2 linked regions of the Astyanax mexicanus genome follow. The protein of the gene in region 1 binds, or shares a complex with, the protein of each later gene. Links are inferred from orthologs where the notes say so. Each region holds a gene or a part of one and is shown on either strand. Other genes may lie near its edges.

Region 1 (6,872 bases):
CATTGGCTCTCGGCTCCATCAATTTGTATATTGGACTTCTCCACACTGATCTACTTTCCATCTTGTGTGCTGTCACCTCCCCAAGCCATCTTCATCAATATTGCCTTCGAAAATGTTCTGGGAACTGTCTGTGCTTTAGGGTTCTAGACTGTGGCCAGTTCCAAATCCCACACTAATATGGTTTAAACCAGGGGCATCAGTCAATAATTACAAATGCCTGGTGTGGCTGCAGGTTTTCATGATAAACTATCTGCAGCACACCACATTTTTCGTTTGCTAAAAACAGCAAAAGTAGTACCCTGATGTGATAATTAGGGGTGGTGATATTGCATGACATTTAAGGTTATAATATCGTTCACGATATTCAAAAATGTTGGCAATATTATTGTGTACAAAACAATATGGCACACCCCTTGTATGAACAATAAAAAACAAATAATTTAATCACACCAATCAGAGCTTCTGAAAGATTTTTTCATTTGTGCAAATGAGGCAGGCAAATACATATAAATATATAAAACTTTAACCCTATTAAGCTTATAAAACTTGACTTTTGGTCAGTAGAAATGTGTGCAACTCACTGTCTGTATGAGTAAAGATAGTTGGGCTAAATTAAAGTCATGAGGATAAGGTTAAAAACAATAACGAGCAAATACAGAGAAAGAAATAATTATTTGTATTAAACAATACTGGGCTTTGTTGGTATGTCCACAAAACTGCGATATTAAAATATTCAGCTCAATGCTTTCACTCAATACTTAACTTTATTGTCCTTTTGAAATGGCTTTTTCTTTGAAGAGCAAAACAAAAAGTGTTAAAAAAAGTGGCAAAAAACAATAAAAAACATGAAATTTCAGCTTTCTGCCTTAATTCAGACAAATATTTCGTTTTGTTTAACCCTTTCAGACACACATGTTTTCTATGTTTTGTGTATTCTTTCACTTCACACAAATTCAGACCTATTAGTCATCAGAATAGAAATTTATTAGCCAGTCAAACAGCAGTGTAGCCCCGCCTACTGCGTTGAAAAAAAAATTGATTGAAAAATCACGTCTTACTTGTATACTGCATTCTATTGTGTGGAGCCTCTTATAAAAAAAAAATAAGAGACCGCTTCAAAATTATAAGTTTCTTTGATCTTACCAAATTGAAAACCTCTGGAATATAATCAAGAGGATGAAAGGTGGATGATCACAAGACGTCAAACCAAGCTGAACTGCTTGGACTTTTGCACCAGGAGTGGCATAAAGTTATCCAAAATCAGTATACAAGGCTGGTGGAGGAGAACATGAGAACATGCCAAGATGCATGAAAACTGCGATTAAAAACCAGGGTTATTCCACCAAATATTTTATTTTCTGAACTCTTAAAACTTTATGAACATGAACGTGTTTTCTTTGCATTGTTTGAGGTGAAAAGCTCTGCATCTTAATTTTTAATTTTTTCATTTCTCATTTTCTACAAAAAAAATGCTCTAAATGACAATATTTTTATTTGGAATTTGGGAGAAATGTTGTCCGTAGTTTATAGAATAAAACAACAATGTTCATTTTACTCAAACACATACCTATAGCAAAATCAGAGAAACTGATTCAGAAACTGAAATGGTCTCTTAATTTTTTCCAGAGCTGTATAATCCTCTTAAACTCCGGGATGTTTGTTCTTTAGACTTCAGAACTATAAAACCAAGAGGTGTCACACACAGATAAAACATGTTCATTTATTTACTCTAACATATACCTCTGAATAACAAAATCAGACCATCTGATTCAGAAACTCTTAATCAGTGTCTTAATTTTTTTTCCAGAACTGTATTGACTTTTAGTAAAAAAAAAAAAAAAAAAAAAAAAATAGAAAATTAGTCGATAAGTCGGTTTGGGCCAAAAAAATATATATATTTTTATCTCCTGTGTGAGCTGATCAAGTTTTTTTTTTTTTAAGTTTATAAAAATTATAAAAAAAACGCATTGCCACATTAATACTACTTCTAATAATGATGCTACACATAATATAACGCATCTCTCCAAATGTAAAATCCAGTAAAGATAAAAATCCGGTAAAATCCCGCCCCTCACCTGTAACACGGTCTTGGCGGTGCCGGTGGACACGATGGTGGTGCAGATGGGCACCGCGTCCACGGTGCGCTGGCCCATGGTGAAGAGCATGGGGGTGGCCAGCAGGAAGGCGGCGGCCCACATGCCGCTGATCAGCTTCTTGGTGCGGCTGCGGGACATGGCGCTCTTCGCTTTGAACGGGTGGCAGATGGCCATGTAGCGCTCGGCGCTCAGGCTGGCGATGTTGAAGGCGGTGGCGTAGGAGCAGCCGTCGCGCAGGAAGTAGTAGCCCCGGCACACGGCGTCCCCGAACGCCCACGGGTGGTGCACCCAGATGAAGTTGTAGAGCTCGAGCGGCATGCTGAGCACCAGGATCAGCAGGTCGGACACGGCCAGGCTGGCCAGGTGGTAGTGCACGGTGCTCTGCAGGTTCTGCAGGGACTTCTTGGTGAGCAGCGTGTACAGCGTGATGGAATTGCCCAGGCAGCCCACGGCGAACAGCAGCACGTAGATGACGGTCACCAGAACCTTGGAGTAGACGTCCGTGTTCACGTCCAGGTCCTCCTGCGACGCGGTGCCGGAGCCAGAGCCGTTGGCGTGGAACGGCGCGGAGTGGTTGATTATAAGTTGCTGCGTTAAAGCGCGCAACTTGGAAAAGTTCCGCACTGTTAAAGTGCCGTTCGCGTCCATCCTCGCGCTCAACAGTTTATTTTTAGAAGTCTAAACGTCTTTAAACGTCTCTAAACTAAACTCTCTAAACTATAAAATACAATAAACCCAGGACGCATCTGGTGCGCATTTGCTTGGTTGGGTTATATGATCATAATGGGTACAAAAAAAGAAAAGAAAAAGAATTAAGAATAAAAGAAAGAAAATAAACAAGCAAAGAAATAAAAAAAATGATGCAGATGATGGAGAAGACCACTCTGAACTGTCGGCTCACAAGAGAAGACCCTTCGGGTTGGGGAAGCTGGCGCGCGCGCTTTTATATCGCTGGAGAGTGATGGAGTAGGAGGGGGAGAAGGAGGAGGAGGAGGCGCGCGCTGAATCGAAAACCTTGAGAAATGACGCAGCGCCATTCTCAATGACTATAGTGCACGCGCCCCTTCTCGCTCTCTCTCTCGCTCCCTTTTTAATATCTATATATACACACACACAATACCGATCTCTTCTCACTCAATGTGTTTTTTCTTTCTTTTATTTATTTATTTTTTTAAACATTGCAATTTTAAGGTACTAAAAACACAAGGAAGGAGTTTCTGGAGGTGCTGAACAATAGTTGCTGCCTTAATGGTGTCCCTTAATTGTTTTCATGTCTTTAATATGAATGCACAATGTAGAAAATAAATGAAATAAACCTTGAAAACCTTAATGTGTGTGTATACACAGCTGTGGAAAAATAGTAAGAGATCACTTCAATGTCTTAATCATAATGTTTTTCTCTGATTTTGCTATTTATAGGCATATGTTTAAAATAAATTAACACTGTTGTTTTATTCTATAAACTACAGACTACATTTCTCCCAAATTCCAAATAAAAGTATTGCCATTTAGAGCTTTTATTTGCAGAAAATGAGAAATGTCTGAAATAACGAAAAAGATGCAGAACTTTTAGACATCAAATAATGCAAAGAAGATAAGTTCATATTAATAAAGTTTTAAGAGTTCAAGTTTTAAGAGCTTTTATGCATCTTGGCATGTTCTCCTCCACCGTCTTACACACTGATTTTGAATAACTTTATGCCACTCCTGGTGCAAAAATTCAAGCAGTTCAGTTTGGTTTAATGGCTTGGGATCATCTTCCTCTTGATTATATTCCAGAGGTTTTCCATTTGGTAAAATCAAAGAAACTAAAATTTTAAGAGAAATGTTGGCCGTTATGAGTTTCTGGAGGTGCTGAACAGTAGTTACTTGAAGCTGTGAAGCTCCAGCTCATCCCAAATCACCATTTCAGTTGACCAGGTTTAGATCAGGGGATTGTGGACACTTTTTTACTGTTTGCTACACAATTCCACATGTGTCCTTTAAATATTTTTTTATATGTCTTTTAATAGGCTACATATACAACGTAGAAAACATTTTTATCCACAGCTCTTTACTAAAACTCTGGACCTTCAGCAAAGTCTGGAACTGAAAATAGACAACAGGAGAGCCAGTGGCTCTTCTCAAACACAGCTATTAGTTGACCTTTACTGTTAGCTTTTAGCTGTGGGCAGTAATATATCTTCAGGATTGCTAGGCTAGATCCAGCCCAAAGTGAGCTTGGGACCGACAGTATATAGCTTTATAGAGAAAAAGATAATAAAAAGAAGAGAAAAAATAATCACTATAATTTTCTGTATGAGATTTCAGAATAAAAACAGAAAAAAATACTGTAAAATTACATGATTAAATGATGAGAAAACACTGTTTAATGCAATGCTACATGAGGTTATGCACAAAAAACATGTGAATTGTATATTTTATATTGCCAGATTTAGCAGGTAATTCTAAACTAACTGCAACGTTTTCTGTAATTTTAGACACAAACATGTTATGTGGATATATTTTTGTCAAATACTGTTTATAACTTAGAATACAAGAATATGAATGTAAAAATAATAAAAATAAATAAATAAAAATTCAGGCTGCAGAGGTGTCAGAAAAATACAGGTACTGTACATGTGGATATTTGTGTGGATGTTTTAAACGTAAATGCAATCTTTAACGTTAGACAAAGATCCTTCTTTTTTGAAATACATTACATACAAGTTATATGGTGCTCCCTAACACTCAATTACTTGTACTGTGCTCAAAACACTGTTCCTTAAGCACAATTTTTCTCTCTCTTTTTTATTTTTTATGTTTAAAACAATGAATATTGTGGTGAGGTCATGCAAAAAAAACATTTTCTTCTAGTAACTTTTTCATAGAGGTCAACTTTCATAGAGATGTTACTTCACAGTAGAATAGTGCTCCCCCACTCCACCATTTGTCTTGACAAATCTTCCTAAAGGTCATTTGTTGTCAAAAAGAGGGTTTGATTTTCCTTTGCTTACTAGCAATTCTGCCGGTAGTACTCTTTTCTTGGTCCTCTAGACCTCAAACTGACCTGTAATGTTCCTGTTAACTGAACTGAGGAAACAGACACCAGAATACGCTTTGCTATCTTTCATATCCTTCCTCTGCTTTGAAGGCATCAGGCAAGGGTTAGGATCAAATTTCACGGTCTTAGAGGTCTTAGAAGTATTCAAAATGTTTTTAAATCTGCATCACCTGACCTTTAAAAAGATACGCCTGTGCAAGCCCTAGTATTAATAGGCGAATTAAGTCTAATCCTAGGTTTTTGGTAACATAATTGGTTATATTTCAACCCTTTTTGAACCTTTTTTGGAATATTGTGCAATAAAATAACATGCAACTATGGTTAAAACATTGAAAAAGTTATTATTTTTAACTTCAATGTCTTTTGGAGATCAGATCAAAATTTCTTCAACCAAATATTCATGATAACCGAATTTTTGATCAGGTGTCAACAAATTCTAATATTGCTCTACTTTAATACTCTTTAATACTCTAACATTTGCAAATCTTCAACATGCACCGTATCAACATAAAGTGTAGCTAGAATTACTAAAATCACATTGAGGTGTGACTGAAATACTGACCATCTTTTTGTTAAAGAATGTGGAAAAACACTTAATTTAGAACATTTTTTATTTTTTATTTTTTTTAAATGCTGAATTGAATTTACAATTGTGTCCAGAACTTTACTCAGCACTATAGTGACACTGGCATGGTAGTGGTGTGTTAGTAGTGTTGAGACACAGCAGTGCTGCTGGAGTTTTTAAACTCCTCAGTGCCACTACTAGACTGGAAAAAAAAAACACCACCCAGAAATGTGATCAATGGTGAAGGACTAAAGGATAAAATAGACAACTGCCACCATAAGAGATGAGGTAAAATTTAACATTTAACTGAGAAATCCAATTCTAAACATTTTCTACTTACTATTTTAAGCAAACCGTGACTTTATGCTTGTTGAATAATTTACTTTTGTGATGGTCTGGCAGAAAAAAAAAATATAGGAGAAAGCTTTGGGTCAGATGCAAGATGGTGGTGTTTAGTGATGGGTCTGACGACCCTGAAACCTCGACACATGCGCCGAGCTGTCAAGGCGAAACCCCGTGTCGGTGCGCGTATCAAGTTAAGGAAAACCACGTGACCGATACACTTCCTGTATCGTTTGGTAGCGATGGGTCTGACGACACTGAAACTTCAGCGCATGCACCGAGCAAACAAGGCGAACCCCTGTGTCAGACAGCGTATCATTTTAAGGAAAACCACGTGACCGATGCATTTCTTCGCGCAGTTGCTTGCAATGACTTTCTTAGTCCAGCAGATGTCGCCATTAAGTGATACAGCAACACAGTTTCAACACAGTGTCGATACAGTTTGGGAAATGTGCCATACACCCAATGAGGCTTCATCTGCCCATCACTAGTGGTGTTTATCAAATAAATAAATAAATAAATAAATAAATAATCAAATTAAATATATAAGCCATTTTCCACTTATAAATATATTTACATTTACTTACTGTTTGCAAGTTGCTAAACAATTCCAATTCCATAAGCTCAAACAGCTCTAAAACAAAACCTAACCAAACGGCTTGCACAGCCTTAAATAGCACCAAACAGGAAGTGTTGTGATGTCACCTCCTGCCATTTTGGAGGGAAACCAGTCAATAAAAGTCCCCTCAAACAAACATATTAGTTTCCCCACTGAAGAATGACATGGATGGCCCTTCTTACAACAAGCCACCACAGTTGGGTATGG
Region 2 (7,736 bases), on another chromosome or scaffold:
CCTCTTCTATCCAATTAGCTTGGTTTAAAAAAGCAGTGAGTACAGAACTCCACTCAGCATTAGGACTGAGAGAGGGGGAATTTGTTCAGCATGACAGATTGCTTTGTTTCCTGTTGAAGGATGAGGCACGGGGAAAAAAACTCTCATTGGTGTAACTGCATTTACCACACTCCCTGAGCCCTTTTATACACTAGAGGGCTGGTTGACTTAAGACTAAATGAGAGCATAATTAATTTAATATCTCTTTTTAACTTTTAAGATGAAAAACAACAGTAAATTTGATGATGTGGTGTTACATGCTATTGTACTTTTTTCACAGCAGTTACATAAACTAAGACAAGCCCTGTTAAGCATCATATTATTACATATTATAAGTGCATTAACTGCATTTATCACACTCCCCATACTTTTTTTATACACTGGACTGAAAAAAACGTGTAAAATATGTAATAAAAAAAAATTGGGTCCAGTATCTACAGTCTTTGACCTACTTGCATTTAATATCCAATATGTCTAAAACATAACCCCAGCTCTATTAAGCTTCATATTATTATTACCCATGTCCTGAACAACCTTCACCTGCATTTCTAAACTGCTATTGTAAAGCGATGCTCAATGATCCTGCATCAGGCAGCTGTGTCTGCTCATCACAGCTAAAACATGTCATCTTGCTCACCAATGGATCCTGACGCACTGCTTTTCATTTCAGTGTGATTGCACTTCACTTGGCTTAAGTACCATAGATTGCACATTGTGTGACAGAAATTATTGATCTGAATCTGAAGGTGTCATGATATAGAGTCTAGCAATTTATTAACCTGTGGTAAATCATCATTAAGACATCTAAAGTGAAGATATCGGGTGACCTGTAAAATTGGTCAGAGAAGAGTCATTTGATAATATGACAATCCCTATTAGACTTTGCAACTGATTTTGCATGATATGATATTGGCTTATTTCTTTCTGACCATAGTAGGGATGGAATGGGAATATATTCCCATATATTCCCAGTTGAGGTCTCTTAAAAGCAGAAAGTTATGTGCTATTGCAGTCCTTCAGCTAATAATTAGATGAAAAACGTTCAAAATATTAGTGACACTTTTGAAACTCTAATATATAGTTAAGCAATAGCTAAAAATAATAAAAGGGAAAAATAGATCAGGAAACTGATATTTAGAACATCTCTGAAAATTTCATATGAATAAGAACCTCCTCTTTGGAAATATTTTCTAATTAATGTTCACTAATTCATTGCATTTCTGAAATCTAGAAGCTTTTCCCATCGATTGGTTCGAACATAGATCTATGGAAGTCATGAGGGCCTACAGTAGTAAGGTCAGTATCCTGTGTGTTCTTCTGTCAAAGGGCAGTTCAATCGATGTGAAACTCCCTGCTGATGCAGAAGCCAGCTTTAAACTCCCCCTCACTGTTAACATCTGTCTTGCCCATAAACCCTGTGTACTTCTGAGACCATTCTTTTTTATCTCACACCCTTGAACCTCTGCATATCTTTAATGTCCACCAGTCAGAACTGGTGAGCCTCAACAAACAGGTGTGAAGAAACTATCACTTTACCTCTGAGGTGTAGAGACTGCTCAGCATCTCCTCCTCCATGGCATCCTTTGCTTCATCAACATCTGTTGGATTAAAGAACAACAGCCATAAATGTTATTTGTAGGCATATATATGCCTATATAATAGAAACACTATATATATATTATATATAACTATGTAACAAACATTACGAGCTTAGGTGAACCTGGTTAATGATGAAGATGACCTGTGCAAATCCTATGTATCCTAACTCCCTCGGCGGATCTGCACTTTAAACTAAGGAGCTCTGATTCCAGCTTGCCTGGACGTGCTCGATGAGCAGACGTGAGCATTTTTAATTTATTTTTTTGCTGTGAAGGTGCAGATGATCTGCACCATATTTCTTAGATTTATTTATTAGGAGCCATAAGTTTGCAGGAGCTGTAAACTTGAACTCACATTTCATGAGAACACAATAAATGCTATCCTAATTATTAGAGTAAATCACTTTCCCCTCTTATTCACTCTTCCTCTGAAGTTCATAAATGATGACAAAATATGCTTCTAACATAATTAATCAATTTCTAAAGGAAGAGTATGTACACCATAGAATGTAACCATGTTGTGCCTGTCCAAAGAAAATGATTTATTTCTACTTTTTTTTTCAGGATTTAGCTTTATACATCATTTGAACACAGCAGCTGTCCTTCACATTGAGTCAAAATACAATGAATGGATCAATAAAAATGCTTTAAAATGGAACTATAGTTTGGAAATACATGCTTTTCTTTGGACAGTGAGGATATAAAATATTATAACACCTAAACACTGATATTAAATAGAGTTTAAATATGATGTGATATCATCTTGTTTTTTTGTTTTTAATACTCGGTGTACCTTTTTAAAGCAATAAATTCATAACATTGTTGTAATTAAGTCCTGTCCCATGCACTGCATTCCTAAAAGAGTTTTCCTTTGCACAACTTTAAGAGTTGAGGTGAAGATCTCAGATTGCAAGTGTTTTATATAATAATTATCTGACAGGGTAAATTAGGTGTGAAAGAAAGCTCAGGACTGCCTGTGCAGTGACTGACTGACGGGCTTACCTGAGCTGAATCCGCTGCAGATCAAACAGAGGAGCACCACACTGGTTAACTGCATCTTGGTCACCTGCATCTTGCTAACAATCCTGCAGACCTTACAAGTTTAGGCTAGGCCCGAGTCCATAAGGCTAAAGGTCAAGAAGGGAGAGAAAGAGTGGAGAGAGTGAAGTAGGATGATGGAGACAGAGAAAGAGTGAGGGAAAGAGAAAGAGAGATGGAGATGGGAGTTGGGAGAGAAAGTGGTCCCTGGTCTTGGTTTCTTATCCAGCCTGTCGCTCTGCGTTCTCTCGGCTTGTTCTGAGGACTGATGGGCTCCATTCCCCCAGTATATAAGCACTGGAGTGATGTCACAGGGGCTGCTTCATTACACCTCCCCCCACCCCTCTCTAGCTCACCCCATCCTCCCCGTCTATTCCATTCTCCATCAGCTCCCCATCGTGTGACGCCATCAGATGACACCACTTTGGCCACTTTGGCGACTGACGTCAAAACTTGCATACCCGCTCATCTGACCTGCGCATTTCTCCTTTTTTGGGGGTGAAACGCTCAAGCGGAGATATGAGTTGACAATTAAGGAAAAATGACGGAGGGAAGAAAGTAAGGTACCAAATTATTTGCATCAGTTTTGTTTGAAGGTGGTAAACAGGGGACATGAATATTTTACATGCATAAAAGATAATATAATGCTTTCAGGCATAAGATAGACCATAACTGGCTTGGAATATATATCTGCTGTTGCATCTCCAATCACAAGTGTTTGTTAAGATCTTTTTTTCTTCAAGAAGTTATCACTAGCATTTAAAAGCAAATTGTACTTTTTTTGCTTGTTATTTTTGTATTATTTATATCTCATTTCTTATTCATATCTCACTAAAACAAGCAGACCAGTTCTAAACTTTTAATCAGTAAACCTTTTTATTTTTGCCAAGGGCTTGTCTGTACTTGACATCCAAACAAATAAATAAATTAAAATAAAATGCCAATCAAGAGTAAATGTGTTTTGTTATGTACCCAACAATGTATTTATATTTAAAATAATTTAATACCACTTCATAATAGCGGAAAACAACACATAACTATTAAAGGTTGATTATCCTTTATGCTTTCTGGATCTTGCACATTTATCTTGCACACTTCTAGTACCGGTATTCCCTTGTGTTTTGTCTAATTGCAAGACTATGTTCAAACTGCAGGCAAATCAATTTTGTTTCTCATTGTTTCTCAGATCACATATGTTGAGATGCTGTCTGCACTGTTTATTTGCAAATAATCAGATTGGATGTGGCTATCGGCATGAGTTGCTTTGGTAGCTAGATTAGCGTCATTAACAAACCTTTGAAGCTCTTATTCCATTTGCATCACTATAGATGTGTAGGTCATTGTTTATCGCAGTGGGAGTGATGCAAAAGACACATTGAAATCTGATTTGAGCATCCAGAGCATACGATTGTCATTGCAGTTTAAATCCCTCCAAATATGGTTTGGATCTGATTACAAAAATCTGATCAAAAGTCAATTTAGAAACAATGTAGATTTGCCAAATTTGGACAGCAGTCTAAACAAAACCAAAAACAGCTATCTTTACTACAGTGCATTCATTGTAACTTAAGTCTGGGTTTCCCTCCTGTAGCCTAATTACTGAAGAACATATGCACAGCTAAAACTCCCGTGTGTAATTACTGCCTTGTGTTAAATGAAGTAGAAAAACAGCTCTGAATAAAACAGTTTAGAAATAAAAAAAACCCACAGCATTAAATGAACACCTGTAGGAGTGTAGGATGATCACCTACAAGAGTTCAATGAGGTGCCATTAACATCTACTATTGGGTCATTTTGGGTCATTCTGGTTTTTACACTACTGGTAGTTTTGGTGTAGGTTTTCTGTAGCCCAGCCACCAGATAACAGGTTACATTACAGAAATCCTTTGTTTCATTTGAAACACCTTCACAGTTGAAGCTGTATTTGACAGAAAATGTTGCAAAGATCTGTAAACACATTTCCAAAAAGTATACATCTTACGAGTAGCTATGAAGTAAATCTAATCAAGATGTGTGGATTATTTCAGATAAAAACTTTATTTTAAACTAAGCTGTCTGTGTGACTGATAGGATTAGCTAATGTTCGCTTAGAAGTTATCATATTGTTTGGAAGTTGTGATACTGAAGTATCACTTGAAATTGTAGCACTTATCTAAATTGTTGATTTGTAGTTCAGAATTCATTTGTTTAGAGAATTAACATAAACAGTGGTATTATTGTATTGTTGTTGATTAATATTAGACTGCCAGCTGATACTTAGATAACCTGGCTGTATAACCAAAAACATTAGAAAAGGTTAAGTTTTATATCACTTAATTTATTCCCCATTATTTTTGTATAGTATTATTTAAGGTACAGGTGTTGTTTCTGGTAAGAAAGAAGTAAAATATATGTTGTTTAATGTCTGTAAAAGTGTTTTTAATTCCTTTTTCATCTTCCCTTTTCACAGGGTGGAACAAACATGCCTGATACCGAGAAGAAGACATTTTACATTTTAAGAAATATTCAATTTTGATTAGCACACTGTTCAGTTTTAATGGAGCTGTGCTTCTGTTAGACATGCTCACTGATAAATACTTAATTTTATTAAGAAAAAGACAATACATTTATAAATGACAAACAACCCAACAAAAACTACAGAGTTAAAGTGGGTAAACTCAGTTTTTAGGGTTATTAATATGGTAGGTCAATTTAACTCTCTTTGTTCTGCTATATCAACTGACCACTGGGTTGTATACCAGATTGGATCATTAACACCCACTGCCCTGTCCACAGTTGGGGGTAATGCCCACCATGATGTATTCCTGGTACACACACTGTGAACTCTGTGGATGGAGGAGTGATAAACGCCCGTGCAACTTCACAGATGTTATGTCTCAACCATCTGGCACCCACTATTAGGCCTCACTCAAACTCAGATAATTCACAATGTTGTGCCATGAGCACACTGCACAGTGTTCAAACTTACTCTCAAGATTTTCAGGCACCCTGCTGCTAGAAAATTATCTTTTTTTAAGACATTTTCTGGTGCTCTTGCTGAGGGAAAATAACCTTTTTACATATGTTTTTTAATTATGTGGCAGATGGGTATATAGAAAAGGCATTGCAGTTAAACAAACATTCACTACATGCATTAATCAGATAGAAGTATAGATACTAGGGTTTAAAATACTTCTGTTCTCAAGCTTCTTTAGTCAAGTAGAAGTGTAAAAGTACAGGTTTCAAAACTACTTAAAGTATAAAAGTAAAAGTAATGTAATGAGGAAAAAATGCCATTAGGGACAAAAGCTTTCACTGCAAATTGTACTAAACTTAGTTGGGACATTTCACTCAAGTTCTCTGAAGTATCTACATGCATCATCTTCATACTAGACTACATACGTCTGCTTTGTTCTTGCTGGATTGTGGGCGTGACGTGTGCAGGTGTGATGGATCGTATAAACCAATAGGGTTTTGGAATGGTATATGTTTATACTTCTCATCCAACCACAATAACATTCACTCTATCCGGATGGAGCAATTTATCTGGATATGGTTCTTTGTTTGTGACTGATGAAATTAAATAGAAGTTAAGAGACTATTTTTAAAATGTAAGTAGAAGTAGACTTTCAGGGGTCTGAAAACGAATTACTCCAGTAAAGTATAGATGACCAAAAGTTCTACTTAAGTAAGGTAAAGTATTTCACATGTAGTACTTCATATCTTACTTCATATCTGCATAACAACACTAATTTCGTGTAAAATCACAGAAAAGAAAATAGGATCATTATAAGTTTAAGTAAAAAGTCGTCTGAAAAAGAATTACTTAAGTAAAGTATCGATAACCAAAATTTCTACTCAAGTAAGATATTCACATATTTCACCTATTTCACATATAGTACTTCACAACTTACTTAACAACACTAATTGTGTGTAATTGTGTTAAAATGGCCAGATGGATCACGTGACACTTGATCAACAAGCAGTCAACAAGTATTTTTGTCGTGTTAAGGTGATCTAGAGAAAGTTTTTAACCAGGAAAACACTGTAAAATATGTTTGTGAGCTTATAAACAATATTTTTCCAGTGCAGTAGTAGTTGTGTTACTCTTAAAGGGACTTGACATTGTTTATAACGTGCTTAATATAATATAAGCTAATAATAAGAGATATGTAAATGTATTGAGGGAAAACTTACAGCTTCAGATCAGTAGCTATTCAGTAATTGAGTACATTTAAAATATTTAAACCCTCTCAGACCTGTTTGTGTAGAGCTTTTGAGCTAATGGGAAATATTAGGGAGGCTATATTATCTGTTGATTGTGTTGTGGTGTTTTTTTCTCTGTGTGAAAGTGTGATAATTACAGCAGGTAAAGGTGCTGGGACTCATCTGTGAGGCACTGCTCTCTGTTTCCAGCCCTCCATTAGGTCACCTCCCTCTGGTGCTCTGGGACGGCCCTCTGCTAACCAGCCTGCCCCGCTTTTTTACTCCTCCACAACTTCTACAAGTTTTCCCACCGCGAGTACCGCCGCTCTCAGAGCCAGACTGAGAACCCAGAGACCTCAGAATGGAGCGGGACTGAGCGCTTCAGCCGCGCGGACTGAGGGTCTGAACCGGAGCAATGGCGCCGTTTGGAAAACACTTTCTGAAGGCTCGTTTGAAAAACAGGTGAAGGAGGATTTTATCTTTTTTAAAGGGTGATTTTCAGCGGCTGGAGGGAATTCAGACGCTCTGTTAAGAGTTTCACAATTTTTACATGGGTCAGCTACAGGAGTAAGAGCTAGACTGAATGAGAATGTGTCTTTTTCTTCTTAATTTAAAACATAAAAGGACTTTTAGTGTAATTTGTAGCCTGTGGGAATGTGTGCCGAGGGGCTGCTGGAGCTGAGAGAATCGTGTAGCTAACACAAAAGAGAAATGCCTTTGCTGTTGTAACCAGAGAAGCTGCATACAGTACAGTGTTGTTCAACTGTATGGCGCCCAGGCTCGAGTTACCAAGGTGCTGTTGTTCAGCTCACATGGATGCAGGTGCCTGGTGTGTGTGTGGTTGTGTGTGTGTGTGTGTGTGTGGAGAGAGAGAGA

The links. The genes of interacting proteins can lie anywhere in the genome.
Region 2: the proteins of ntsr1 (region 1) and nts are in contact, whole or in part, in a crystal structure (PDB 4BUO), measured with the Rattus norvegicus proteins. The link is inferred for Astyanax mexicanus from reciprocal best matches to the Homo sapiens genes NTSR1 and NTS. Residues at the interface, in NP_001102437.1 of Rattus norvegicus: Ser53, Asp54, Leu55, Asp56, Asn58, Phe128, His132, His133, Tyr146, Met208, Val224, Cys225, Thr226, Pro227, Ile238, Arg327, Arg328, Phe331, Cys332, Tyr333, Ile334, Ser335, Asp336, Trp339, Phe344, Tyr347, His348, Tyr351; in NP_001095851.1 of Rattus norvegicus: Arg157, Arg158, Pro159, Tyr160, Ile161, Leu162.

The regions. Positions count from the first base shown.
Region 1 is NC_064420.1:31,972,680-31,979,551, reverse strand, and holds the start of ntsr1 (neurotensin receptor type 1), read right to left. Parts: upstream 3,002-6,872; 5' UTR 2,745-3,001; coding exon 2,076-2,744; intron 1-2,075. UniProt on the Homo sapiens protein: G-protein coupled receptor for the tridecapeptide neurotensin (NTS). Signaling is effected via G proteins that activate a phosphatidylinositol-calcium second messenger system.
Region 2 is NC_064416.1:21,497,784-21,505,519, reverse strand, and holds the start of nts (neurotensin/neuromedin N), read right to left. Parts: upstream 3,008-7,736; 5' UTR 2,710-3,007; coding exon 2,640-2,709; intron 1,638-2,639; coding exon 1,576-1,637; intron 1-1,575. Other genes in the region: rassf9 (ras association domain-containing protein 9), read left to right, coding at 7,276-7,322. UniProt on the Homo sapiens protein: Neurotensin may play an endocrine or paracrine role in the regulation of fat metabolism. It causes contraction of smooth muscle.